6 linked regions of the Oryctolagus cuniculus genome follow. The protein of the gene in region 5 interacts with the protein of the main gene of each other region in a biochemical or structural test. Links are inferred from orthologs where the notes say so. Each region holds a gene or a part of one and is shown on either strand. Other genes may lie near its edges.

Region 1 (4,361 bases), on a different chromosome or scaffold from region 5:
CAAAGGCAGAGAGCTCCTCCGGCCTCCCGACTTGCGGGGCTCGTGGAAGGTAGGGAGGTAGGAAGCTTGGTTGTCTGGCGGAGAGATGGTGGTATGGTGAGCTCTGTTTATTTGAGAGGTAGATTGACAGAAAGGGGAAGACAGATTTTCTGTCTGCTAGTTCACTCCCCGGGTGCCCACGGCATCCAGGACCAAAGGCAGGAGCCAGGTCTCCTTCGTGGATGGGCCATCAGCTGTGCCTCCAGCTGTGTCAGCAGGGAGCCGGATCAGCAGCTGAACGAGGCGCTCCACTATGGGATGTAGGCGTCCCAAGTGGCGGCCTAACCTGCACCACGGCACTCACCCAAACGAGTGAGGGAGCGCGGGCAGACAGGCTGTGGGCGGGGGTTGGGCTTGTTTGCGTGGCCCTGGTCCCCAGGTGTGCTTCCCTGGTCCTCCGCGGGGAGGGAGGCACCTGCTGATTGCTGCTCCCCTGTCCCCTGGGGGATGGGCCCTGGCAGCTCTGCATCCCCTGCTCGCTGTGCCCACAGGTCCTGACTTCCTGGTGACGGAGGTGGAGAACGGTGGCTTCTTGGGCAGCAAGAAGGGCGTGAACCTCCCCGGGGCTGCGGTGGACCTGCCTGCCGTGTCCGAGAAGGACATCCAGGATCTGAAGTTCGGCGTGGAGCAGGACGTGGACATGGTGTTTGCCTCTTTCATCCGCAAGGCGGCTGACGTCCATGAGGTCAGGAAGATCCTGGGAGAGAAAGGGAAGAACATCAAGATCATCAGCAAAATTGAGAACCACGAGGGGGTGCGCAGGTGAGTCCCCGGACGCCAGCCGGCCAGCCCGCCTCGCGCCTGCTCGCTGGGCAGCACACTGCAGCGGAAGGCTGTGCAGGCGGTCTGACGTTGCTCCGTGGCCGGAGGACCCACACCAGAGAGCAGGCCCCTGCGCACAGGACGGGGGCTGGCACCGTTTCCTGACCGGCGGCCGTGGGGAAGCGCGGGGTCGGGGTCTTGGTCTTCCCTCAGAAGGGCTGGCCTGGCGATGAGCCACTCGCCCCCAGAGGGAAGCCTGGGGGTCTTCTTCAGGTCCCCAGGCTGCCCCAGCCCAGCCTGACCACCTCCGCCGTCTCAGTGTGGCCAGCTGGCCCCTCCTAGAGCAGTAGCTCGTGAGGGGCAGGGCGGCAGCAGCCCTGGGGCCCACAGCCTGGTGTTCTGGCCGTCTCCGGCTCTGCCTGGGCATCCTTCCTACCACATGAGCTCGGCTCTCTGCCTTTGCTGTCCTGATGGGCCGGGCTGCTGGCTCGGGCCGGTGATGCGCGTGCCCTCTTGCCTCCCTGGGGCATGCCTGTGGTGTCCTTGGCTAGATGAGGCCGCCGACCTTGGGGTGGGAAGCAGCCAGCAGCGTCGGTGCCCTTCCTGGGAAATGCTGACTGGAGCACTTGAGGGCCTCACAGGGTCAGGTGGAGAGGCGGGGCGGGGCATCCCAGAAGGTGTCGAGGCCCAGGAGCCGGGAGCCTGGCCACGTGCACGCATCTGTGCTGTGTCGGGCCCTCCGAGTTAGGGGTCGTGGCCGGGGCTTCCTGTCTGTCACCATACTTGGGACCCCTGTGGAATATGACTTCTGTTTCGTCCCTGCGCCCTCTGTCAGGTTTGATGAGATCCTGGAGGCCAGCGACGGGATCATGGTGGCTCGCGGTGATCTTGGCATTGAGATTCCTGCAGAGAAGGTCTTCCTTGCCCAGAAGATGATAATTGGGCGATGCAACCGTGCTGGGAAGCCTGTCATCTGTGCCACGCAGGCATGTGGCCCTCCCTGGGGACCCCGTCCCTGTGCACCCCCAGTCCAGCAGGGTCTCACCCGTGCTCTGCCCCTCCCAGATGCTGGAGAGCATGATCAAGAAGCCCCGCCCCACCCGCGCCGAGGGCAGTGACGTGGCCAACGCGGTCCTGGATGGAGCCGACTGCATCATGCTGTCTGGAGAGACGGCCAAGGGCGACTACCCGCTGGAGGCCGTCCGCATGCAGCACCTGGTGAGTGCCCAGGGCCCCGCTTCCGCGGAGCCTCACTGCACAAGTGAGGCACGTGCTGGGCGTGGGGCGCCCCTTCTGCCCCGCCTCCCAGCTCCTGTCCGGAGGAGTCACCCCAGCTTCCGAGTCCTTCGCTTGAGTCCTGGGGTACTGCTGCCCTCAGCAGATGCCTGTCGCCCTCCTCAGAGGTCCAGGGGCTTCAGCACCTTTGGCCTGATCCGGAAGACACCAGGGCTCCTGCCCCCAGCTGCTCTGTTTGGCTGCTGACTGGACTCCCTGCGGGGCCTGTGTGCACCCAGCAAGCTGCCTGTGAGCCGGCCTTGCATGGTGCCTGCAGCGGGACCGGCTTCTGTGCTGTGGGGGTGCAGCTGCCTCACTTAGTCCAGACGACCCAGAGGGGCTTGGGAAGGTGGCCAGCCCCGGTGGTCCTCACACTGGAGTCATCTGCAGGAGTCTGGGGCTGGGCCATAGCCGCCTGACCTCTTCTGTAGGTGGGAGCCCAGGGCTGGTTGTCAAGGCCACTCGGGCTTGGTGCACCTTGAGCCCCAGTCACCTGGAGAGTGGCTCCCTGTGGTCTCTGACGCTCCTCTGTCTGTGTGCTGTGGTAAGCTCAAGCGGGAGGGTGATGACCTTGTCTGAAGCACACGGACTACAGAAAGTGTCTCTGGGCGAAGTCTCCACTCTCTCAGGACCTCGTCTGTAAGCTGGATTAGATGAGATCTACGACTGCTGGCTTTAGTTCTGATAAGTCCCTGGTACACTGATGTAATCCTGACAGCTCCCAGCATAACCAGGGCTGTGGGACAAGAACTCCCAGGACACTGACCCAAAGCCGGCCTTCTCCCTGCGGTTCCCCTGCCCAGTAGGACTTAGAACGAGGCTCTGGGTCCCAGAGTTGGTTCTGGGTTCTGAATTCTGTGCCTCTTTCCCTTAACTGGTCTTTCCCATGGACAGACAGCTTAGGGCGTTGCAGGCTCTGGGCCAGGATGTGGCTGCCCTGCAGGTGGTGCAGGCCACTAGCCGGCAGCCGCCTCTCAGTGTCCGTGCTCGGACTGATGCACTGACCCGTAACTCAGGGCTAGGCCGCACCAGGTATGGCCCTGGCTCCTGTCCCTGTCCCTGTCCCTCGGGCTGCATGCACTCATCCCATCGTTAACTCGGCGGTGCTCCCCGCGTCTGCTTCCGCTCGGAGATGAAATGAATGGGGCGGTGCTGCTGACCCTTCCTCGCCCGTTGATGACTAAGCCACTGGGAACTGCATTGTAATCTCGAACGCTTCCACTCGCTTTCTGATTCTCAGTCTCACCTGAGCTGGTGGTCTGTGGTAACTCAGCTCTCTCGCGCCTGTTTTAATCAGTAGCTGTTAATCAAGCGTCCTGTGACGTCCCCGCATGCTCCCATGGGTGTCTCTTCACATGGCTGTTCAGGGCGGCCCTCGCGAGCTGGCCTGTGCTGCCAGCTCTCCTGCGTGGCCTTGGCTGCTGACGCCTGCCTCCCAGCCCTGTTGTCTGTTCCCACGGCGGGCACTGGGGAGAGCACCCTTGTGCCTCAAGCCAAGCAGCCTCCATGTGGCACAAACACCCAGACAGCCAAGTGAGGAGGGGCCTGCTCCTTCCCGAAATCTGTGTCACGAGGCAGCGTGGTCAGGTCCAGCCTGGGCAGGTCTCCATGCCACGGCGCTAGAGCCCGCGGCCATGCTGGCTGGACCTGGACCCTCTGCCTCTGCTTGACGACCCGATTAACCCGGGGTGCCTTCCTCCCTGATTAATCCCCCGTTCTGTCTTTCCGTGTCTTGTCTTCCCTGTCTCCTCCTCCTCCTCTCTTCCTTGCCCTCTCCCCTAACCCTTACAGATAGCTCGCGAGGCTGAGGCAGCCATGTTCCACCGCAAGCTGTTCGAAGAACTTGCGCGAGCCTCCAGTCACTCCACAGACCTCATGGAGGCCATGGCCATGGGCAGCGTGGAGGCTTCCTATAAGTGTTTAGCGGCAGCTTTGATAGTTCTGACGGAGTCTGGCAGGTAGGGCCCGAGGCCAGGTAACGCTGCAGGGGACCCTGCCTCTTGCGCCAGCTGCTCCAGGATGCGCGGCCTGGGCCCAGAGCCTCTGCTCAGCTGCAGGAAGACAGCCAGGGTGGTCAGGACAGGGCAGGACCGGAGGCTCTGCCTCGGTAGGCAGCGGCGTCTCGGGCAGCCGGTGGAGGAACGCCCCCGGGGAGTCTGGCTCTGCTGCTCCCGGGCTGCAGCCCTCAGGCTCGTGTTGGCCTTGCTGGGCCGTGTCCCCCACCCGCTGTCTGTAGACTCATCCCCTCCCCTCTCTGACAAAGCTCTGACGAAGCTCTGTCCCCT
Region 2 (4,860 bases), on a different chromosome or scaffold from region 5:
TCAGTTCCATCCCAGAAGCCCAAGCTCGGGGAGTCAGGGGTCTCGGCCCAGCCCTGGCCTCCGGCACGAGGTCACTTCCTGCCCTTTCCGCTCCCAGGCAGCCGCTGTTCTTTGGGGTCTGCACGGCAGCCAGGACAGGCGTCCTCACACGGGGGCCGTGGTCAGCACAGGACGGCCCCGGGAGGCGCCGCGCTACCCCCGCCCCAGGGCTGTGGTCAGGCTGAGCGGCGGACACCCGGCCCATGGGGCCTGGGGAGCCGCAAAGGGCTCTGCAGCAAGACGGGCCCAGGTAAGAGCCGAAGCTCTGGGGGCAGCAGGGGTCGCTCCTTCGGGGGGCTGGGGCGTGGGCGGCCACTCACCAGCCCCCGGCCCCACGCCGCCCCGCTCCGGGGACCAGCAGCCCTTCTGCGAGCCCAGAAAGCCGAAGCTCGACTGCTGGAAGCGGTCAAAGTCCCCGAGCGGCAGCGCCCGGTACCCAGACCTGCCGAGCATGGCTCCTGACAGGGGGGCGCGGCCAGCGCCGCTGACCGCCGGCCCCAACCCTCAGGCCCCGCCCCCGCGGCCGCCGCTTCCGGCTTCCCTTGCGCGGCCCCGGCCGTGGCCGGAGAGGAGGCAGCCCGGGCTGCTCCCGCCGTCGCACGGCGCCACCCAGCGCTGGGAGGACCGCACTGCGGCCGGGCCGTGGGGGTGTGGCCTGCTCCTGCTCTTGCTCCTGGCTGGTACTTGGCCTTAGATGGACGCTCCTCGAGGTGTCCACACAGCCCGGCTGGCTCGGGGTGGGTGGTGGCGTAGACAAGTCCCGGCTGGAGGAGCTGCTATAGAACCCCAGAATTGGCCGGCGCCGCAGCTCACTAGGCTAATCCTCCACCTTGCGGCGCCGGCACGCCGGGTTCTAGTCCCGGTCGGGGAGCCGGATTCTGTCCTGGTTGCCCCTCTTCCAGGCCAGCTCTCTGCTGTGGCCCGGGAGTGCAGTGGAGGATGGCCCAAGTGCTTGGGCCCTGCACCCCAAGGGAGACCAGGATAATGCCATCGGATCAGCGCGGTGTTGATCACCTCCTAGGTGGCCCCAGCCTCCCCTCCCCCCTAAGGAAGACACCCTAGGAGAATCCTCTCTCGCCCAGTCTGAAAACTTGGCAGGAATTTCACACTCAGCAGAAGAGGATAGGGGGAGGAAGATCTGGACCCCATGCCCTTCCAAGCACTGACCGCTCAGCATCTCCCCAGCTGCCCCTGGCCCAGCAGGTGCACTGCCTCCGTCAGGCTGTGTGACCTTGCTGTCCTCGGTCCGAGCGGCTAGAAGCCGTCTCTGATTCCGTCTGCAGAGGGGCCTGTCGGTCCCGACCGATGCCTGCCCCCGAGAGCTTGCTGCCTTGCTGCCCGCGCCTCTCTGTCTCACGCCTGAGTCCTTCCTGGCAGAAGAACTCTGTCCCAGCCGCGTCCGCTCCGGGATGTCAGCTACAGGGGCACGGGATGAATCAACAGGGGGTAGAGATGCATCCCGGACGCCAAAGGCGGGAGAGCTGGGGGCGACAGTGCTGCAACGAGAGGAAATGCAGGCTGGGACCCCATAAACCGACATCAAAGGGCGTTCCGAGCTCTCCAAGCCCTGAGTCTCCAGTGACCAGCCCCCTCTCCAGCCCAGCCGGGGCTGCAGCCTGGGGTCTCCGAGGACATGGTCAGCTCCTGGGTGGCCTGTGTCCCCAATACCCCTGCTGGGGCTGGGCCAGAGCTGCAGGAGCTGTGATCAAAGTGGAAAGTCCCCCAGCCCCAGTCGCGACCCCTCCCCGCGCCCCAAGTCACTTCCTCCCGAGAGGCGGGCCCTGGCCGGCGCCTCCCCTTTGGCCTGACTCAGCCTCTCGTGCCGTTTCTCCCGCCCTCCCCGATGCAGACGGAGAATCGAAAGTGAACCGGACCCATGCAGCAGGATCCCGCGCCCGCCGGGTCCCCGGGCTCCCAGCGCGACGCCGGCCCGACCCGCACCCCTACCATGGCGTCCCCGGAGTTGCGCTCCGAAGGTGCCCCACGTAGCCCCAGCCCCGCAGAGGTACTGCGCTCACATGGCGGGGGAGGGGGTCGCTGGGAGGTGGGGGAGGAGGGGGGATAGGTGGGAAGAGGGGGGTGCAACGGGAGACTTGGCCAAGTACCTCAAAGAGTGCACCAGGACAAAGGACCAGGCACCAAAAGAGGTGCCCGGCCTCTCGCCTGGGGCCCGCGTGGGAAAGGGAGGGGACTAGCAACTCCAAGTTCCCAAGTTGGAGGTGGAAGTCGGCGGCCCGGTGGGCGCCCGGAACAGGTGAATGGGCAGGGGCCGCGCGGCTTCTGTGATCTCTTTCCGGAAGCCTCCAGGTGACCTGCTGGGAACCCCCTTCCCGCCTGCGCCCCACCTCCCCCACACACCCACAGGCACTGTGCGGTTGGCTGGCTCTGGGAACGCTCGGAAGCACGGCCTTGCGTTATTACAGCCAAGAATCGGTGGCTTAGCAGTGCTAGTTAGCACTAAGTTAGCACCGTTAGCACCGACTAGTTAGCACTGCCTAGTGCCAGGTGATAGATGAAGTACTTCCGGGGCTGCACTTTTTTTATATATATATGTTGTGGCAAGAGAGACATCAGGAAGAAGTGACCAGTGACTCCCTCCTAAGTGAGCGCATTTCACCCTCGGCCACCCTGCCCCCCAAGTCCAGCTTTGTCGTCACCCTGGAAACTGTGCCCTGCACGCGGTAGCGCCTGGCTCCCGGGTCACCTCTAACCCACTTTCCCACTGTGAACGTGCCCGTCTGGGCTGTTTCTGTAAGCGGGCCCGAGTCGGGGTTTCTCTGCGTGTCTGGCGTAGTTTGTTCAGCGTGATGTCTTCAAGCTTCAGGCATCCAGAGTTCGTTCTGTCCCGGGGCTGCGTGAGGGACAGTCCCTTCACGTGCAGAACGCATTGCACTGCCCAGCTCTGGGTCGAGCGAGGCCTGGGTTCGCGCACCCGGCTGCTGGGAACGGTGCTGCTGTGTGCACACCCTGGGGTCCCAGGGGGCTGGTGGGCCTCTGTTTTCAGAGTTTGATAGTTAGGGATGGGAATTAGGGCTAAGGTGGCTCAGTGCTTAGCAGCTTTGGGGGGAACCCCCTATCTGTGTAGAAGGGGGTACCTGGCTCACCTACCATCCAGACTGAGCTCCGTGGAGGTGGAGGTGTGTCCTGGGTCACCGCTGGGTCTCAATGAGCACATGCTGAATAGATGGGGTACTTGGGTCGTGCGTGGAGCAATGACAGGGTGGCAGGGGATGGTCCGGTCCCCCCCCCCCAGCCACAGGGACGGATGGGCGGCTGCAGAGTGGGGACTCCTGGGACTTTTCCAGGCCTTACCTCCTCCCTGTTGTCCTCCCTCCCCCAGCAAGCCGAGGAGGAAGACTTCCAGTTCCTGCAGTGCCAGGGCTGCCACACCCAAGCCAAGTGCCCCAAGCTGCTGCCTTGCCTGCACACGCTGTGCTCGGGGTGCCTGGAGGCGCCGGGCCTGCACTGCCCCATCTGCCAGGGGCCCCGGGCCCTAGACGGGGCGCCCGTCCTGGACAACATCTTCTTCGAGAGTCTGCAGCGGCGCCTGGCCGTGCACCAGCAGGTGGTGGACATGCAGGCCGCCTGCACGCGCTGCAAGGAGCCCGCCGACTTCTGGTGCTTCGAGTGCGAGCAGCTCCTGTGCTCCGGGTGCTTCGAGGCGCACCAGTGGTTCCTGAAGCACGAGGCGCGGCCGCTGGCCGAGCTGCGCAGCCAGTCAGTGCTGCAGTTCCTGGAGAGCACCCGCAAGTCCAACAACATCTTCTGCTCCAACCCCAACCACCGCAGCCCGATGCTGACCAGGTGAGTGGCCCCGGCCGGGCGTGGGTGCTGGGTGGGGGCATGCCGGAGCTGCTGGGGGCCCGGGGTCTGCAGATCGGGGGGTCCGTGGTGGTGACCCCAGTGGGAGACACCTGTCACCAGACCGCCAGAGGCGCTGGATTCCAGGAGCAGGTGCAGCGGTCAGAGCCGGAGCACCGGCAGCCAGGGCAGACGCCACAGCAAAGACGACCAAATCAGGTCAGAACTACTGTATTAACCAGCAAGCTCCATTCTGTTTTTACGCATGTAACCATTCCTATGCAGAGTGGACAGTGAGAGAGAGAGACAGAGAGAAAGGTCTTCCTTTGCCGTTGGTTCACCCTCCAATGGCCGCCGCAGCCGGCACGCTTCGGCCGGCGCACTGCGCTGATCCGATGGCAGGAGCCAGGAGCCAGGTGCTTCTCCTGGTCTCCCATGGGGTGCAGGGACCAAGCACTTGGGCCATCCTCCACTGCACTCCCGGGCCACAGCAGAGAGCTGGACTGGAAGAGGGGCAACCAGGACAGAATCCGGCGCCCTGACCGGGACTAGAACCTGGTGTGCCGGCGCCGCAAGGCGGAAGATTAGCCTAGTGAGCCACGGCGCCGGCCACCAATAAGATTTATTTAAGAGAGCGAGAGAGTGAGAGAGAGGGCGCAGAGTCTCCGAGCTTCCGTCATCTGCTGGGGGAACTGTGCTGATGAGTTTGAGTATTTCAGTTTCCGTGGAGACCAGAGATTTGTAACATGTTCACAGAAAATGAGGGCTGTGAGAAGGCTGTGCGAGGACTCCCAAAATGTTTGCGCCAACAGAAGCGTGTCTTTTAACGCCCGTGTCCCAGGCGCGTTCGGAGAGCCCCCTCTCGGATGCAGATGAGAGAAGTCTCTGAGGGGTCCGTGTGCGTGGGAAGGGGCTCCTCCTCGCTCGGCAGGGTAGAGCTGTGCACCTGCTGACTGCCAGGGGCTGGGCTCTGCCTCCAGAGAGACTTCTGCACCAGCGGCGAGTCCCCGCTTCTGTCCC
Region 3 (4,361 bases), on a different chromosome or scaffold from region 5:
TCCACCTGCTTCTGGAGTGGCTGGCACACACCAGGTACTCAGAGACTCCGTGAGCTTCTCCCAACCACTGGCACCAACGCGTTTTTACAGAACGGCCCGCTTCTGCAGAGGCCTGGTACACTGCCGGTTTCCAGTTTGCGGCTCTTGGCATATGTGAAGCCAAGTGCTCTGACTGTGGGAGGACAGAGGAGTGACGGCCTCAGAGGGTCAGACTGCGGTCAGACGTGGGGTTGGTGCTGGCTCCTGTCACTCCCGAGCTAGATGGGTATCCTTAGGCAAGGCCCCCACCCTCTCCGTGCCTCAGCCCCCTCTGTAGAGGAAGGCAGACAGACATCCCTGCCCTTAGGTGCGGTGTGTGTGAGGTCCACGAGAGTTAGTGAACAGCAAGCGCTGAGAACACTGCCCCGGCGCATAGTGCGTGCAGAGCCAGTGCCAGGCTGTGGCTGCCCCAGCCTGTGCGAGGACAAGCCCATCGAGGCTTCTGAGCAGGGCCCCAAGCTTGGTGCTCACCGTCCTTTTACAGATGCGGCCCCAAAGGCCCTACAAAGCGCAGGTTGCTTGTCGTAGCTGAGATGAGGGCAAAACGGTGTTTAAACAGGTGCAAGACCTCAAAGCCTGTGTCCTCAAGGCGCTGCAGTGGAGACGAGCAACTTTAGGTGTGCAAGGGCAAGTCTGGGGGAAAACAGCTTAATCTGGAGTTCCAAGAGGGAAGAAACGTGATCCTTCTCACTCGTCAGCTCCGTGAGGTCGATAAGGGGGAGCTTGGCGATGTTCTTAGTTGTGGAACCATGGCTTACTTGAGACCCGGAGCTGCCCTGTGGGCTGTGGTCCCGCTATGACAGCACTGCTGTCCCAGTCCACGGCCACGCCCGGCTCAGGGCTTTCTCTGTCTCTGCTCCAGCACATCAACCCTGTGGCTGCGTCCCTCATCCAGAAGATGCTGCAGACAGACCCCTCTGCCCGCCCGACCATTAACGAGCTGCTCAGTGACGAGTTCTTCACTTCCGGCTACATCCCTGCCCGGCTGCCCATCACTTGCCTCACCATTCCACCCAGGTTCTCAATCGCTCCCAGCAGCCTGGACCCCAGCAGCCGGAAGCCTCTCACCGTCCTTAATAAAGGTAAAGCAAGGGGAGGGTCAGACACAGAACCCCAGAGAGAACCGAGGCCCCTAATATCACTTCTTCATGCTTCATTGAAGGAGACAGGAACAGTTTCAAATACACACCCTGAGCAGGCTGTGGGAGCCTCCAGGTCCCCACCATCTGAGCAGTCACACCTGCCCTGCGGAGCCTTCCCTGTTTCTCTGATATATTCTTAAAGTTAACCTCAGACATCTTGCCATTGTACCCATAACTTCAGTATGCGGCTTCGATTTTCTTAGGAAAATCTAACGTCACGTGCCATTACCTAGGTTGTCATTTCCTCTGGGTCTCTTCTATAGGACAGAGTCAGGAAATACTTACTTTAAAGGGGGACATCTGGGTGTATGATAATGTTTGCGATTCCCTTTTTCGTAGCATTTTATTTTGCTATTATTTCAAGGTTAAAAAAAGGTGGAAGAACAAACAGGAAGCTCCTCTTCCGTCTACCCTGTTCCCTAGATCCACCAGTTGCCATTTTTTTTTTACATTTACTTTTATCTTCTTCCTCTACCTCCCACGTATACTGCACATGAGGGTACTTCAAAAAGTTAATGGGAAAAAAATGGAATTAGAAGTTTATTTTGGTGCGAAGTTGAACCTGTAGTTTTTCATAATACAGGTTTTTCCATTAACTTTTTGAAGACATCATTCATTTGCATTGCATGCACACAGAATTGTTTAAAAGTAAGTTGTGTATGTAAGTATTCCATTCTTACCCTTAATACTTCAGTGTGTATTTCCTAAAAACAAAGATTATTTTATATAACCACAGTGCATAACAGTTATCAAGCTCAAGAAATTTAACATGGATACAATATAGTTTTAGAGCAATCTTCTTTTTAAAATATAGACTTATTTATTTTATTTGAAAGAGTTACAGGAGGAGAGAGAGATCTTCCATCAGCTTGTTCACTCCCCAGATGGCTGCCATGGCCAGGGTTGGGCCAGGCCGAAGCCAGGAGCCAGGAGGTTCATCTGAGTCTCCCATGTGGGTACTGGGGCCTGAGGACTTAGGCCATCTTCCACTGCTTTCCCAGGTGCAATATCAGGGAGCTGGATCGGAAGTGGAGCAGCTGGGACTAGAACCAGCGCCCATATGGGATGTCGGCACTGCAGGCTGCAGCTTAACCCGCCACGCCACAGTGCTGGCTCCAAAGATATGTTGTTTTGTTTTTTTTTTTTAAAGTAGCTTGAAATACTTCCTCTAGGTGTATCTCAGTTTGATAGACAACTTAAGTTCATTTGTTTGTTAGTTTTCAATATTTAGGGATTACTTTCTAGAATTTTATTGTAGAATAACTTTAGGCTTATACAGAAATTCTAAAAGATAATAGCAATTGCAGAGAGAGTTCCCATATACCCTTCCCTTGGCTTCCCGCGCATCAGCGTGTTGTGTAACCACAGAGAAGGACTAAAACACAGGGCAGTATCTTTTCTTTTTCTTTTTTGAATTCTACTTTTCACTTTGTAAATTTTTTTTTAAGATTTATTTGTTTTACTTGAAAGTTAGAGTTATGCAGAGAGAGAGAAGGAGAGGCAGAGAGAGAGAGAGAGAGAGAGAGGTCTTCCATCTGCTGCTTCACTCTCCAGTTGGCCACAATGGCCGGAGCTGTACCGATGCAAAGCCAGGAGCTCCCCGCTTCCCGGGTCTCCCACGCGGGTGCAGGGGCCCAAGGGCTCAGGCCATCTTCCACCACCTTCCCAGGCTATAGCAGAGAGCTGGATAGGAGGTGGAGCAGGCGGCAGCTTCACTGCTCCCCCTCAGCGTCGGCCCCGGTAGTTTCACACTCCAGGCTGTCTTGGGCCCTCGTCAGGTTTTCCACTTCCGCTCTTTCTGTGGATTTGGAGTTCCTCGCGCTCACACTGAGGTTCTAGACTTTGGGGGAGTGCAGCAGAAGTGATGCGCCCTTCTCCGTGGACTCTGGTTTGTTTCGTGGGTTTTTTTTTTTTTTTTTGGACAGGCAGAGTTAGAGAGAAAGGTCTTCCTTCCATTGGTTCACCCCCCAAATGGCCACTACGGCCGGTGCGCTGCACCGATCCAAAGCCAGGAGCCAGGTGCTTCCTCCTGGTCTCCCATGCGGGTGCAGGGCCCAAGGACCTGGGCCATCCTCCACTGTACTCCCGGGCCACAGCAGAGAGCTGGACAGGAAGAGGAGCAACCAGGACAGAATCCAGCACCCCAGCCGGGACTAGAACCTGGGGTGCCAGCACCACAGGTGGAGGATTAGCCTAGTGAGCCGCGGCGCCGGCTCCATGTAGTCTATCAGGGGTACACATTGATTTTTTTTTTCTCTTGTTAGTGGTGGTGTTTATTAACTGTGATCACTTGGTTACCGTGGCATCTGATGGGTTTCTCTTATTTTTATCTGAGAGAGAGAAAGCTCTCATCCACTGGTTTGTTGCCCAAATGCCTGCAACAGCTGGGTCTGAGCTAAGGCTGGAGCCAGGAGCTCGGTCCAGGCCTCCCATGTCAGTGGCAGGGACCCAGTTACTTGAGCCATTGCCAGTGCCTCGGAGGGTCTGCATTAGCAGGAAGTGGTGAGTCAGGTGACACGCAGGTGTCCTAACCGATGTATGACTGCTAGGCTCAGTGTCCCGTGCCGAGTTTAGCGCCCACGGCGGGGCCTGCCTGCAGCAGTGCTCACTGTGTTCTCGTGCTCTTTCTTTTCCCTGCTCCTGCGTTTCACTAGTTGGCCCTCTAAGGAAGAGCTGGCCCTCTCCTTGTTTGCTTATTTATGTCAGTAATGAACTCAAGGATTGTTTATTTTGTTCTTTGGGCTATATTAATATAATACTGGGGTTTTTTAAGGATTACTTTTCAGTTTAATTTTGAACTTACAGCTTTTTTTAAAAACAAAAAACTTCATGGATGTTTTCAACTTTACCCAAAGGCAGAGAGAAGTGTGCCGTGACTCCCCACGTGTTCGTCATCCGTTGTCAGTAGTTACCAGCACAGCTACTAGATTTTGATCTGTTCCATACCTTCCTCCTCCTCCCCTTTTTTCCTAGTTTTTAAAGCAAATCCCTAATATGTTACTATTTCATGCTTGCATACCTGTCACAGCATAGTTTTTTTCTTAATTGAAAACTTCTTTTAGGAAATATTTCAGGAGAATTAGACATGTTGGTGGGGAAAAGAATTAAACATTTAAGTATAAAGATAGTAATATCCATGCTTACTACCACCCAAATAAAACCAACTCCTTTGACTTATAT
Region 4 (4,361 bases), on a different chromosome or scaffold from region 5:
CATCCTTCAAGTATAAAATAATTCACTGCCTCCCCCCCACCACAGCCTAACACTCAACACTCCTGCCCACAATTAAATGTCTTTCTGCCACCTTTTGTTCTCAACATTTTTTTTACTGATGTCCTACTATTTTTCTTCCTGCGCCCCCCCCCCCTTTATTCTTCACTTTTAGGCTACTACTTGGAATCCAATCTTTTTATTCTTTCCCCAATAAGCCTTTTATTGAAGAAATACAAACATCATGCATTTCAAAAGTGCAACTGTAGGATAGTGATTCTTCCCACCATACCCACACTGCCACCCTCCTCCTCTTCCCTCTCTCACTCCCAGTCCAATTCTCCACTAAGATCCATTTTCAGTTAACTTTATACACAGAAGACCAACTCTATACTAAGTAAAGGGTTCAACAATTTGCACACACACACACAAAAAAGTGTTAACAGTAGAAACAAGGGCTATTCAAAGTCATTGCATCTCTACATTTTTTAATTTTTTGAAATAGCTATTTTTATTTATTTGATAAAGTTACAGGGAGAGTGAGTGAGAGAGAGATCCCCCAACAGCCAGTTCACTCCCCAAATGGTCACCGGGCTGAGCCAGGCACCAGAAGCTTCCTCCAGATCTCCCGTGTGGGTGCAGGGGCCTAAGCATTTGGGCCATCCTCCACTGCCCTCCCAGGCACATAGCAGGGAGCTGGAAAGGAAATGGAGCAGCTGGGACATAAACCACCAGCATCTATATGGGATGCCAGTGTCATAGGCAGCACCTTAACCAGCTATGCCACAACGCCAGCCCCGGAGTCCAATCTTAATTATTCCCTCATGGATCAGACCCCACCTGTGATCTTGCTCCAAAGAGTTTCAGCAGAGTATGCTTCCTGGGCCCCCTTCTGGTGTCCATGCAAATTCAATGAGGTTTCCAGGGCCTGGTGCTAGTCATCCAGGAAGTCCTCCAAAGGGAAGAATCCATTGGCTTGAGGGGTCGCTCCATTCCCTGCCTACAAAGGTAGCAAAGTCAGAGGCAGATGCATTCGTGCGGACGCTCCCTTTTCACCCAGGGAAAATTAAACCTCTTCAAAGTGGGGAGAGGCAGAACTCAGTCCATCACTCATGGAAGTAAGCAGTAGTGACACCCTGCCCTGTAGAGATTGGCCGGAGGTGGGTAGGGGTCCCAGGTGTGTAGGTCCTTCTCCATTACCTAATCTGGATATCTGAGGAGCAATGGCTGTACCTTCTGTTCTTGTTTGAGGTTTGAAGGTGAAGCCCTGGCTGTCACTGTGGCCTGGCAATAACAAATATGGGTCACACTGAGGTCAACATGAAGAGACACAGCTCACTGCTTATCACAGTGAATCGGGAGCCTAGATAGTAATTTCTGGGAATGACATAAGATCAATATCCTCTATCTAACAGAAAAAGTACATCTTCATCTTCATGTCAGTCTAAACACCTAGCTTCTTACTATCCTGATGTTCTTTCTTCTGGGAAGTGTAAATTAGATATATTCCAATCCCCTCAGAAGTCAAGATACAAAAGACAAAATTTGACTTCCCTTTAAAATACATCGAAGCAGAAATCAATGCACACACTCTTAATTCCTGCCTGATTTTCCAGCTCATTTGGTAGAGTAAGGCTTTGTGCTGACTCCCACACTCAGCACCTCTGTCCTGGAGGACAAAGACTGTTCACAAACCTCCTTTCTGGGGAAGCAGGCTCCACAGATGAAAAAGTTAAAATAAAACTCATCTGACTAGTCTGCACTGCTCATTCACTACCATCACCAAGATCCTGAGGTCAATATAAGTTGTATTGCTGACTTACTGCATCTCAAAGATAACGTTTGCATTTCTGACTTTTATTTCTCAAAGTGGGGTCTGTGAGCCATCTGTATGGGTAGTACCCTGGGGTGAGGTGGTTAGGTCTTGATAATACCTGGTCCCCACACTACACCTGTGGCAACATCTTTTTTGGGGCCTGCATTTTAAACAGCTTTTATAAGCTTATAAAGCTTTTTTTTAATATGAGCCATTCTAAATACACACTGAAGTGTGACGAGTATAGCATAATCCCTTACCTAAGTATGGTCCCAAGTCCAAGTGCCTCAACATCAGCTGGGCATTTGTTTAAAGTGCAGGATCTTGGGACACAATGCAGCCCTGCTGAACAGACTCTGCATTTTGACAGGATCTCCAGATGATTAGAAGGCAAAACTAAATTTTAGGAAACCCTAATATGATGGACACCTCCATTACCCAAGAGTCATGACAAATCTCATCTATAAACCACCCAATTATTAAGAAGCATCTTCCCAGTATTAAAAAATTTCAACTAGTCAGTGTTCAGATTTCTAAAGATCTTTTGCACTGTGATAAGGATGGATTGTGCCTGGATGATTCAATTTCCTTACTTTCCCTGAGAAGCAATTTCTTTTTACCCACATAATTATCGACTGTGAGCTGCTGCGCTCTCAAAGGGACACCGGACAACGGAAGCTCCTTGGAAGGCACCTATCTTGCTTAGCATAAACACACACACCTGCTCACACCTCCACCTGCCACCCCGCAGCAAATGCCTGGTCCTCAGAGGAAAGCTAGCTAAGACGGAAAGGTCCCATAACGACGCAAGAAAAGCAAGGAAAAAATAATGCTTAAAACACCCTCACACTCCTAATTATCTCTTCTAATATCCTAGCAAATGGTGGTGGTTAACGAGGAGCAATTTAAATCTCCCGGGGTTGGCGGGGCGGGGCAAAGGGAAAGTACAGAGAAGGTGTGGCGATTGGCCAGAGGGAGAGCCAGTGGTGCGTCAGGCTCCCTGCGGGGCGGAGCCTATTCACAAGCTTGCCCGACGCTAGTGCACCACTCGCCATCCTGCTCTGGCTCCAGGGGTGGGGCATGTTTTGTCCCACTTCCGGAACCTGCTCACGCCCCCCGGGTGAGGTACGAGCCAAAAGATTGGCTACCAGGATGTGGGCGGGCGCGCGGAGATTGGCTGACGCGTCTTGGAGGCCAGCGGGGATAGGTTAGTGGGAGGGCGGAAGGTTTGAATGGTCGAGACTCGCGGCTGTTGATGGGCTTGTCCAGAGGCTCTAGCGCTGGCTTTCTGACCTGAGGGGCGGCGAAGCCCGACCCTGGCCTACGCAGTGGACAAGCGGAATTTCAAGCTGGTGAACCGCGTCCTTTCATTCTGCTCGAGTCTTCGCTCGTGTCCGACCGCTACCCACTTTCTCCCGAAGGCCGTTGTCAGACTACAAACGTGAGGTAAATTTGGCCGCTGTCTCCGCCACAGAGTGCCCAGGACCTCATTGTCCCCTCGATTAGTTCAGAGGACGGAATGGGCATTGCCATGACTTGGGAGAGCTGAGCCCCTTCCAGGTAGGAGTGTCCAGTTGTGTGGCTCTGAGCAGGTGGAAGGTCTGTCTGTATTCCGCGGTTAAAGTCCTGAGGTTGCCTCTCAGTAAGTGCAGGCTCTGACGCAAAAGCCCCGCCGCTTCGGGCCAGTGCCTTAGGCGTCGAGCGAGGCTGTGATCCGCCCTTTGGGGATGCCCCTGGTGCGGCTCCGGTCCCCTTGACTGCAGACCTGAGGGGGTTGGAATCGGAAGGGGCTGCGCTGCACTTACAGGAGCGACGTCCTCTTCTCGCTAGGTTTCGCCTTTTCCTTGGTGAGAGCTCCGAGACCATGGCTGCAGATCTCTTTTCGTCCACGAGAGAGGAGGGGAGCTTTGGCTCAGGCCCCAGTTTTAGGTCCAATCAGAGGAAGATGCTACACCTGCTCTTGGAGAGAGACAATTCCTTTACCCTCTGTCCAGAGCTCCCGAGAACTCCAGGGGACAGACTGCTTGGTGATTCTGCAAATCTCAGCGTTTTGTCTGGGTAAATCCACCTTTATTCTTAAAGCTTATATCCTTGACTTCTCTAAACAAGTGTGTGTGTGTGTGTGTGTGTGTGTGTGTGTTTTGTTTTTTAAATTATCCTGGCTCAAAGATCAACATTGGAGTCTCAGCTCTGCTCTGACCCTTTTGAATCTCAGACTACTTTTCTGTTGCATGGAACTAATAATCTCTTCCTGTCTTCCTGGGTTCTGGTAAGAGTCAAATAATGTGATATCTGGGAAAACTCCATATCATTATGTGAGCTGTTCACTTTATTTCTGGTAATATTGGCTGTGGTGGTCTTGTACTTCTGGCCATACCATGTCGTGATACCTTGGCTACCAAACAGAAGTGTAGCAGATTTCAAGAAGAAACCAAATCTGTGTGTTCATGGTGCACAGCACAGAGGACATGATGAGGTAAAGAAATCCCTTTGTAAATAAAGTTGAGCCCCATAAAAATAGAGTGATACTGTCTCATTATGTTGATGA
Region 5 (5,157 bases):
AGTCAGCATGCCATTAGCAGCTGACTCCTGCCAGCAGCCACAGGAACTGGCTTGGAGGTAGATCTTACCCCAGTCCAGCCATCAGAGGAGGCCACAGCCACCCTGCTGACGTGAGCTACATTGTGCCTAGCTAGATTCCTGACCCACACACACTGAAATAGGTGTTACTCCCTACATGAAGGGCAGTTTTTCTCTGCAGCAGTAGACAGCTTAAATGCAATCGGCAATGCATTTTGAACATCATCAGCCACCTGGTGTGATGCAGAGCGAGGAGTCCAGGGTCCACACACACCCTCAGTCCCACCGCGAGCTGGCGTGAGACAAGCCCATCCTGAAGCATTACAGAACAGTGGGAAGATGGAACCAGTGTGTAGTGAAGAGGTTCACACCGCTGTTGATTTCCTAGCTTTGAGGATTATTCCATGGCAGGGTTTCTCTGCTGTGGCAATGCTGACATTTGGGGTTGGGGAATTCTGAGCTGTGGGGAGCTGGCCCATGCCTTGCAGGATGTGCAGCAGTCTCCACAGCCTCTACCCACTAAATTGTCCCTTCCTCCCTTTGTGACAGCCATAACTGTCAAGACATCACCAGATGTCCCCTGGAGAACAAAACTGCTCCTAAGTGAAAACTTCCGTTCTGCTGTGTCAAATGCTATCCCATTTGCCAGCTGGGTGAAATCTATTTTTGCAACTCCAATTATCTTTTACAATTATTATGCTAAGATGTGCTTAAAAATGAGAACATTAAAAAGTTCTTCATTTTTTGTCATTTGACTTGTATCACCACTGGTAGTCAACATTTTAATGAATCTATAAATTTGCTGTGATATAAGCCTATAATACTTAACATATCTTAGCTGTAGGCTAGGAAGTGTTTTGAGTGCTTTATAGGGACCACTCCTTAACCATCGCATCAGACAGAAGAAGTGGTAGTATTGCTTCCTCCGACTTTGCAATCGGAGGACTTGAAGCACGGGGGTTCAGTAACTTGCTCGCACCCCCTCACCCCCAAGCAAGGTGGCTCCGCAGCGCCCTTGGCCTCCTACCTCGTCCTGCCTCTGTGTTTTCCCTGAGCCACGTCTCTGAGCCTCGATGTTGTTAAGGGGCACCCATGTGGGTGCAGGGACTATAATCCGCTGTCTTCCCAGGTGCATTAGCTGGAAGCCAGATCAGAAGTGGAGGAGCTAGGTCTGGAACTGGCACACCGATAAAGCGCTCCCTTGTTCACCTGCAGCCCTTGGCACTCCCGGCCACCCCCGCAGCAGCTCATGCTTCTCCCACCTGCGCCTCCTCTCGCGCTCTCCTCGCCAGGGAGGAGGAAGCAGCCAGAGTGAGAGGAAATAAGTAGATTCCAAAGGGCCCGCGGGGGGAAAATGGTTTAGCCCAGCGAGGCCGGGTTGGCTTTGGACATCTGGAAGAAGCAGGTGGGAAGAGGGAGGCTGGAGAAGCCAAACTTAGGCTTCGGGCACTGAGCTGCTCGTCACCAAGGCAACTGCGTTGTTATGGCAACAGCACGGGTACCACCGCCTCCTCCTCCCACAAGTAACCTGCACAGCGGCCAGACGCTTCCGCATGAGGGTCGTGCGGCCTTCCGGGAACGGCTCGGGCAGGCGGGAACTGCTGCCCCGGCAGCCAATCAATAAGCTCTATCCTGTCGGGTCGGGTTCCGCCCGCCAAGAGCGCCAAGAAGGGGGTTGGGACTTTTTTCGCTCTCGCCAAAGGGCGTTGAGAAGGGCGGTCTCGAGTCTCTAATCCACCACTTAGGAGCCAAGGAGAGGAGAGGGGCGGGGCCTGAGTGAGCCCGACTAGGGGCCGGGTACCAGTGTAACGTGGGGGGATCCGCCCACTCTCGCTTCTGCCCAGTAGCAAGACGGAGAGCTCATCCTGACGGTTGGAATGTCCAATGAGCGTCGCTGCCAGGCCCCGGTGCGGAGAACGCCGAGCCAATGGGCAGCGTCGGTGGGCGGGCGCGGGTGACAGGCGGCGCGGCGGAGGCGGAGCGGGCGCTGCGGCAGGAGGGAAGATGGCGGACGAGGAGAAGCTGCCGCCCGGCTGGGAGAAGCGCATGAGCCGCAGCTCAGGTGCCGCGGGGATCGGGGCCGGGGCAGGGCCGCGCGGGCCCACGGAAGCAGGGCGCGAGCTCTGCCCTCGAGCGCGGAGGAGCCCCCCGCTTCCGTCCCGTGAGGTCTGGGCTCCTCCGCGTCGCCCTCGGAGTAACGGCGCCGGCCCGCCCCCGTGGAGGGCTGCAAGGCTCAGGAGCCGGGAGGAAACTGAGGCAGGGGGCGGGGCGGGGGAGGGGCCGGGGAGGCCGCGGCGCTCCCTGAGGCGGCGGCACTGAGTCTGCCAGCCCGGCTGTCTGCAGCCAGCACGGGCCTGCTGCACCTGTCGCTCTGCGGGGAGCTGGGCCCGGGGCACTCCCTGGGGAGGGGGATACCCCTCACCGAGCAGAGAGGCGTGGCACACACACCTGCCGGCCACACCTCTTCCTGAGTCTGCTTGGAGCCCAATCGAAAGCTTGGCCCCGTTAGGTGTGCACCCCGCATCGTGTTTTTAGTTCTCTGAGAATTGCCGCACGTCTGGGAGATGGGTCGTTGGTGCGCCCATTTTACAAGTGGGGACGCTGAGGCCAGGAAGTGGAAGGATGTCTTCCAAGATCGTGCATTTCAGGGGGGTTGGAGCCGGCTTGGAACCCAGTCTGCCTGCTCCAGGGCCCCTGGCGCTTTTCCTGTGTCACCGCGAGCGCCCGAGGAGCTGGCCCGGCTTCTCTGAGTAGGTCTAGGGTCCCTCTGCCGCCCCTGGAGCCCGCAGTGGCCACAGTCGAAGTAATAGTCCTTGTGTGTCGACCCAGGGGAGGTTTGATGGTGTTGATTCGCTCACCCCCATTTTGCAGATGAGTAAAACTGAGGCTCGGGGAGATAAGGCCCACAGACAGCATCTTAGCCTCAGTGGGTGGCTCAGCTGGATTTGTTGCTGGAACCCCCCGATCCCCTGTGTTATTTTTTCTTCCCTGAAGTTAGCAGTCATTGGGGTTCTCTTGTTGTCGTCTTTGCTGGTTTGGAGCCTGTCTTCCCCCACTGAGCATGTGAGCCCCCTCAGTACAGGGGCTGTGCGCTGCCGTGTCCGCCCGTGGCGCAGGGTGGACACGCGATGGGTTTGCTGCCCTCCCCGCAGGCCGGGTGTACTACTTCAACCACATCACGAACGCCAGCCAGTGGGAGCGCCCCAGCGGCAACAGCAGCAGCGGTGGAGGCAAAATCGGGCAGGGGGAGCCGGCGCGTGTCCGCTGCTCGCACCTGCTCGTCAAACACAGCCAGTCCCGGCGGCCCTCGTCCTGGCGGCAGGAGAAGATCACCCGGACCAAGGAGGAGGCCCTGGAGCTGATCAACGGTGAGCAGGGGCTCTCGGGCCGGGATCCTCTCCACTTCTGCTCTCCCTGCTCTGAGGCTCGCCGACTCCAGGAGGAAGAGGGCGTTTGGAGGTAGAGCTGCAGGAGTTCCTGCCAGAGGGAACTTGGGAAGAGGCTCATCCTGGGCGGGGCCCTTTAAATCCTGGGGGCTGGGGGCGGAACTTGGGGAGGCAGCCGGACGCAGGTCTGGGTTCAGCAGAGCAGGGAGGCCAAAAGGACATGTGGGGTGATCCGGGTAAGGTGGCAGGAGGCTGAGCGGCCTTCCCAGCTCTGGGTCGGTGCTGCGGTGGGGCTGCACTCACCAGCTTGGGTCTTAGGAAGGGATAGACCATGAGCAGGTGGGCCCGGGCCCGCTCTTCCGTAGGTGGAGATTTGGGGATGTCAGCAGGCTGCCAGCGCGGGGGGGGGGGGGGGGGGCCTGTGGAGGCTGTGGGAGAGATTGCAGGCAGAGGCAGTGTGGCTCGAGCCTGGGGTGGGCCGAGGGTGGAAATGAGGGGGAGGCGGATTCTAGAGAGATTCAGGAGACAGACTTGGGAGGATGCAGGGGTGTGTGAAGTGGGCGAGGCTCTGCTTGGGAGGCCCACCACACCCTGGGCTCCTCAGGACTGGGGTCTTGTGCCAGCTGTGTGTCCTGGAGCAGCTGTGTTCTCTGAGCCTCGGTGGCTGCCTCTGTAGGCTGGGCGCGTGTCCCCATGAAGAGCCGGGAGCCGTGGGCTCGGTGTCTGGGGCTTGACCCCAGTCCTTGAGGCATATGCATGGGGGAGCTGAGGTCGAGGGAAGGCCTGGGCTCATGGGCTGCTTCTCTGGAAAGATCTCTGGGCCTGGACACGGGCGGTCTGGTGGGCTCAGCATAGACCCTCTGGTGACCTTGGACTGCGACCTTCTCTGACTTCAGTGTCGTCCTGCTCGAGGTGGGACTGGTGCAGGACCCTCAGAGGTTGCTAGGAGGCCGTGGTGAGCCGGCCTTGGCTGTGGCGCACTCAGTAACCAGACATCCTGTGTGTTTTCCACAAGCCTTGGGTGCCTGGGCCTTGTCCTGTGTGTGCAGGTGACTGCTCCCCCGGTCTGGCTGTGTTCCAGAGGATCAGGAGTCGATGGTTTGGCCAGCGCCCTCCCCAGCTGGCAGCCTGGGCCCACACGAGTCTCCTCAGTGCCCACTGGGACCCGGTGCTGCCCCGGGAGACGCGTCTGCAGCGAGAATCAGCGCCTCCACCTCTCTGCAGAGGCTCCTCTTCCCAGCATCAGCTCCTCTGCAGCTGCTGGGCTGCCGCCAGGGGCTGTCAGGAATCCGAGGCCCGCCCAGTGTCACTGTTGGTGTCCTTGCCTGAAGCGGCCAGCCAGGGGGAGCCATCCCTGCCTGTTTCCCGTCCCTCCATGCCTGTGTGCCCAGGGTCCCAGGGAGGCCCCGACCTGAGGATCCCCCACCCAGGGAGGGCCAGTGGTCCTAGGCTGGGCCTCTGGGCCCCTTGCTGGATCTTAGGTCTTCTGGGGACATAATCCTGACTTCTTTCCCTGCCCAGGCCCCTTCCCCTTTGGTGCCTGGGTGCCATTGGACTAGAAGCAGCTTATTGAGTTGTAGGGCAGGGCAGGGAGTTTGTCCCTAAACCTTTTTGGGATTAGGCACCCCTCTGTCTGTTCACTCATGTTCCCTTGGATGGTTACAGTGATCTGTTAGCTTGGGCTCCATAATAAAATACCACAGACTGAGGCCGGCGCCGCTGCTCACTAGGCTAATCCTCCGCCTAGCGGCGC
Region 6 (3,922 bases), on a different chromosome or scaffold from region 5:
ATGAATATTCATAAGCAAAGGCCATCTTTTTAAATCTTAGCATTGTTAAAGTGAAGATTCCAAATTGGAAGGATACATCTTTTCTAAGATCTGCCCCGGGTTCCTGCTTTGAGAATAAGCATGTACTGTTAAATTTCGACCAACATTACAAACGGTCCCAGCACCTGCCACTTGATGGAATCCCAAACTTTGAGGTGTCTGACTTGCCAGTGGGTTGCCCCTCTGCCCCCAAACCCCCTTTCCTCCAGTCCCCAGGACCCACCCTCTCCCACCCCCCACTACCCTCTGGTGATCAACTGGGAAGTCTGAGACCTGATGATAACACCAGGACCACTTATTTCTAAAGTTCAGTAGGGAATCCAGGAGTTTGTACTGCTTGAAAGCAATAAGTACTGAGCGATCCTGATGGACACTAAAACTCTCTTGATTGCACCCAGATTACCTAGCATCTAGAGATAATGCAGAAAAAAGGTTGGGGGGGATTACTTTTCAATATTTTATTGTATTTTCTTAAATATCCTTTCTGGAATTTTCAGAAACAAAACATAAAAAAATTATATACTTTATTACAAATGGTAAACTCAGAGTGCTCCAAATCTCTTATTTACAAACAACACTGGGCAGGACACCCAAACGAACAAACATGAAATAACTTACAAAGGCATGAAGCTGTTTATTGACAGTAATCAGCTTTCATCAAATTAAAAAATAGATATCTGTACATACACGGTTAACGAAGGCAGGCCAGAAAGAGTGTATCTGCAGGCTCAGCCTGGCCCTCCCCGGCTCCCTCCCCGCCCCCCGCCGCCCCTCCCCAGCCCTCCCGGTCGGGTTCTTAAGGAGTACTACAGAAGCGATCTACAGTCTCTATGGCAGTTTGTCACCCCGCCCCTCCCCCCCTTTAATACTGAATGAGATCGAATGTTAGGTCCATGCAGTTCTTGGTCAATGTTAAAGAAAAGTCTACCGTCGTGATGGCGCGGGGACAGCCCTTCCGCCGAGCGGGGCCGCCCGCAGGCGGCCGCTCCCTGGCTCCGCGCCAAGGGGAGCGCGCGCCAAGTCCTTCCCACTCGTGCACACTGGGGGCGCCGTCAGGACGCAACCCAGCCCGGCTTGGATACCCTTGGCCTTAGTCCTCGGACGCGTCTTTTTTATTTTTTTCTCGCTGTCGCAACCGGTCAAGTTCGCAAGACTGTCTCTCTGTTGGTTTTGTTTTCTTTTTCTTCGTCGCCCCTCAGCCCTCGACAGTCTGTCCTCAGAACGTTTGCAACTGCTGCGTTAGCATGAGTTGGCACCCGCTGTTAACGTGGTTCATGACTTTCTGTTTCAGCTGTGCCACCTGTTCCCTGAGCATGTTGGCCGTGGACGCCAGCTCCGAGTTCTGCGCTTTCAAGGTTTTCACTTTTTCCTCCAGCCGAGCGATCCTCTCCAGCTTCCTTTTCCGGCACTTGGAGGCGGCGATGCGGTTCCTCATGCGCTTCCTCTCCGCCTTGATCCGCTCCTGGGACTCCATGTCAATGGGGGACAGGGGCGGCGTCTCGCCGGGCATCTCGGGCACGGTCTGCGGCTCCTCCTTGAGCGCCTGCAGCCGCGGGTGCTGCACGGGGATCTGCTGGGGCAGGTGGTGCGGCGGCTGCGGCGGCGGCGGCGGCTGTTGCTGCTGGGGCTGCGCGGGAAAGGCCAGGCCGGCCGCGCCGTAGGAGGGCGCCCCGCCGCCGCTGCTCAGCGCGCTCGGGTTGAAGTTGCTGAGGTTGGCGTAGACAGGCGGCTCGCTGTGCAGGCCGGCGCTGAAGCCGCCGCTGCCGCCGCCGCCGCCCGCCACCGAGGCCACGGCCGGAGCCACCATGCCCGCCCCGCTGACCGGCTGCGCCGCGGACGTGACGCTGGGCAGCGTGTTCTGGCTGTGCAGCTCGGCCAGGGCGCGCACGAAGCCCTCGGCGAAGCCCTCCTGCTCGTCGGTCACGTTCTTGGGGCACAGGAACTGGGTGGGGGTCGGCGTGGTGGTGATGTGCCCGTTGCTGGACTGGATGATGAGGCGCTCCAGCTCGGGCGACGCCAGCTTGAGCAGCCCCACGTCGGGAGAGGTGAGGAGGTCCGAGTTCTTGGCGCGGAGGTGCGGCTTCAGGCTGCCCACCGGGTCGGCCAGGTTCAGGGTCATGCTCTGTTTCAGGATCTTGGGGTTACTGTAGCCGTAGGCGCCGCTCTCGGTCTGCAGGAACGAGGCGTTGAGGGCATCGTCGTAGAAGGTCGTTTCCATCTTTGCACTCATAGAACAGTCCGTCACTTCACGTGGGCTTACTTTGGGCTGCGCGCACAAGTTTCGGGGCCGCGACAGCGCGCTGGCGGGCGGGGAGCACCCCGCGCCTCCCCGGGCCTCTGGCAAAGGAAAAGTTTCGGAGCGCGCGCGCACCCGCGGGCTGTCTTCCCCCTGGGCGCCCCGCTCACCGGCCCCCGCTCCCGGGAGCGGCGGGGTTCAGACGCTCGCCCGCACTCCTCGGCCGCTCGCGCGCGCCTGCCCGCCTTTGAAAAGTCGCGGTCACTCACTGCGCGCCCTTCGGAGGCTCCCCGGCGGCGCGGCGCGGTGCCCCGCAGTGGCGGCGGGTCTCGGCCGCCCGGACTCCCGGAGACTGTGCCCTCTTCCGCTGCGAGGGGCAGGGGGCTCCCGGCGGCAGCGGCTCGCGCCGGTCAAGTTCAGAGGCCGGGGCGAGCGGAGCCGCGCGCGCGTCGCTCCTCTTCGCTCCTCTCTCCGCCGCCTTGCTTTTCTTTGCTGCCGCCGCGGCAAGCCCAAATAGCGCAGGAAAGGTTTGCAAAAGTTCGCTCCGGGACTCCGGGCCACTTGTCCCCGGTCCTCCCGGCTCGGAAAGTTCTTGGCCGCTGCAGTCGCCGCTCTCCGCGGCTGTCAGCTGCGCTCGTGCGGTGGGGCTCTCCTCCCCGGGGGCGGCTGGAGAAGCAGCAGCTCTCCAGGTGCTCCCCCCAAACACCAGCCCGGGATCCACAGGCGCTAGCGCGGGGCAGTTGGCAAAGCAACGCAGCCGTGCGGATCGCACTCTACGGGCGTCCTGGCGGGGCGGGCGGACTGTGTCTGTGTGTCTGTCTCCCTCAATCCGCGCACCTCCACTCCCGCCTCGCCGCTTCAGCCACACTCAGTGCAACTCTGAGCCCTTATCCAGCCCGAGCGCAACACTTATCTGCTACCAGTCAACCCCTAAAAATAGCCCATGATGTCACCCCAAGGCCTTCCCATTGGCTCGCGTCGCTCTCTGGGGGGCGGGCCCGCCCGTCGCCATGGAGACCCCACCCTAGAAGATTCTTCTTCGGGCCCGCGGAGGCTCACGGGATGAGGTAATGCTCCGCTGCCCTCCTACAGTTGGGCCCTTCTTTCTCCTCCTCTCCCCCTCCCCCTCCGCGCGCCTCTAGCCCCTCTCTTCCCGGTCCCCTCCCGGCCCGTCTTTCCCGGCCCGCCCGGTGCATTGTGGGCTGACGTCTTGGGGTTTGACTGTCTAGTGACGGTGGCCGCCGCGAGCGAGCGAGCGGGCGGGCGGGCGGCCGGACGCTCGCAGCCGCTGACGGAGGCGGGGGCTCAAGTTCAGGGCTCCAGACGCGGATGGCGGGTCACGGAAGGCTGAGAGCTGTGCCAGCTGCCTGGGGCCGAGTGGGCGCGGGCGTGTCCCCACTTGGCGGAGTCGAGGGGGCTCCAAGTGGCGCCCCAGCGTTTGTGCAGGGCTGGGAGGCCGAGCGCCCGGTCCGAGCCCTCCCCCCACCCCGCCCCGCACTTCCGGGGGCCGGGAGCTCCGCCCTGAAGGTGCTCCGCGGAGTGCCCCGTGGGGGCGAGCGGAAAGTGGGCTCCAGTTGGGAGGCGGTCTCGCGAGAGTCGGGTCCCCCCTCCCCCCAACACCACTACGTGGAGAACGCGCCGAAGTTT

The links.
Region 1: the proteins of PIN1 (region 5) and PKM form a complex in vitro, tested with the Homo sapiens proteins (2 studies listed by BioGRID, with this or other methods). The link is inferred for Oryctolagus cuniculus from reciprocal best matches to the Homo sapiens genes PIN1 and PKM.
Region 2: the proteins of PIN1 (region 5) and PML form a complex in vitro, tested with the Homo sapiens proteins (2 studies listed by BioGRID and IntAct). The link is inferred for Oryctolagus cuniculus from reciprocal best matches to the Homo sapiens genes PIN1 and PML.
Region 3: the proteins of PIN1 (region 5) and PLK1 form a complex in vitro, tested with the Homo sapiens proteins (3 studies listed by BioGRID, with this or other methods). The link is inferred for Oryctolagus cuniculus from reciprocal best matches to the Homo sapiens genes PIN1 and PLK1.
Region 4: the proteins of PIN1 (region 5) and CDC25C interact in a test that uses a peptide from one of them, tested with the Homo sapiens proteins (2 studies listed by BioGRID, with this or other methods). The link is inferred for Oryctolagus cuniculus from reciprocal best matches to the Homo sapiens genes PIN1 and CDC25C.
Region 6: the proteins of PIN1 (region 5) and JUN form a complex in vitro, tested with the Homo sapiens proteins (2 studies listed by BioGRID). The link is inferred for Oryctolagus cuniculus from reciprocal best matches to the Homo sapiens genes PIN1 and JUN.

What each region holds. Positions count from the first base shown.
Region 1 is NC_091443.1:110,893,130-110,897,490, forward strand, and holds part of PKM (pyruvate kinase PKM), read left to right. Parts: intron 1-530; coding exon 531-801; intron 802-1,636; coding exon 1,637-1,787; intron 1,788-1,866; coding exon 1,867-2,019; intron 2,020-3,867; coding exon of another isoform or gene 3,868-4,034; exon of another isoform or gene 4,035-4,361. UniProt on the Homo sapiens protein: Catalyzes the final rate-limiting step of glycolysis by mediating the transfer of a phosphoryl group from phosphoenolpyruvate (PEP) to ADP, generating ATP.
Region 2 is NC_091443.1:109,483,063-109,487,922, reverse strand, and holds the start of PML (protein PML), read left to right. Parts: upstream 1-1,850; 5' UTR 1,851-1,915; coding exon 1,916-2,044; intron 2,045-3,379; coding exon 3,380-3,843; intron 3,844-4,860. Other genes in the region: STOML1 (stomatin-like protein 1), read right to left, coding at 360-492.
Region 3 is NC_091450.1:15,668,432-15,672,792, reverse strand, and holds part of PLK1 (serine/threonine-protein kinase PLK1), read left to right. Parts: intron 1-901; coding exon 902-1,121; intron 1,122-4,361. UniProt on the Homo sapiens protein: Serine/threonine-protein kinase that performs several important functions throughout M phase of the cell cycle, including the regulation of centrosome maturation and spindle assembly, the removal of cohesins from chromosome arms, the inactivation of anaphase-promoting complex/cyclosome (APC/C) inhibitors, and the regulation of mitotic exit and cytokinesis.
Region 4 is NC_091437.1:26,129,097-26,133,457, reverse strand, and holds part of CDC25C (M-phase inducer phosphatase 3), read left to right. Parts: intron 1-3,043; exon of another isoform or gene 3,044-3,373; intron 3,374-3,643; 5' UTR 3,644-3,677; coding exon 3,678-3,871; intron 3,872-4,361. UniProt on the Homo sapiens protein: Functions as a dosage-dependent inducer in mitotic control. Tyrosine protein phosphatase required for progression of the cell cycle. When phosphorylated, highly effective in activating G2 cells into prophase.
Region 5 is NC_091447.1:67,377,288-67,382,444, reverse strand, and holds the start of PIN1 (peptidyl-prolyl cis-trans isomerase NIMA-interacting 1), read left to right. Parts: upstream 1-1,925; 5' UTR 1,926-2,022; coding exon 2,023-2,080; intron 2,081-3,170; coding exon 3,171-3,386; intron 3,387-5,157. UniProt on the Homo sapiens protein: Peptidyl-prolyl cis/trans isomerase (PPIase) that binds to and isomerizes specific phosphorylated Ser/Thr-Pro (pSer/Thr-Pro) motifs.
Region 6 is NC_091438.1:114,258,353-114,262,274, reverse strand, and holds JUN (transcription factor Jun), read right to left. Parts: upstream 2,270-3,922; coding exon 1,256-2,269; 3' UTR 1,155-1,255; downstream 1-1,154. UniProt on the Homo sapiens protein: Transcription factor that recognizes and binds to the AP-1 consensus motif 5'-TGA[GC]TCA-3'.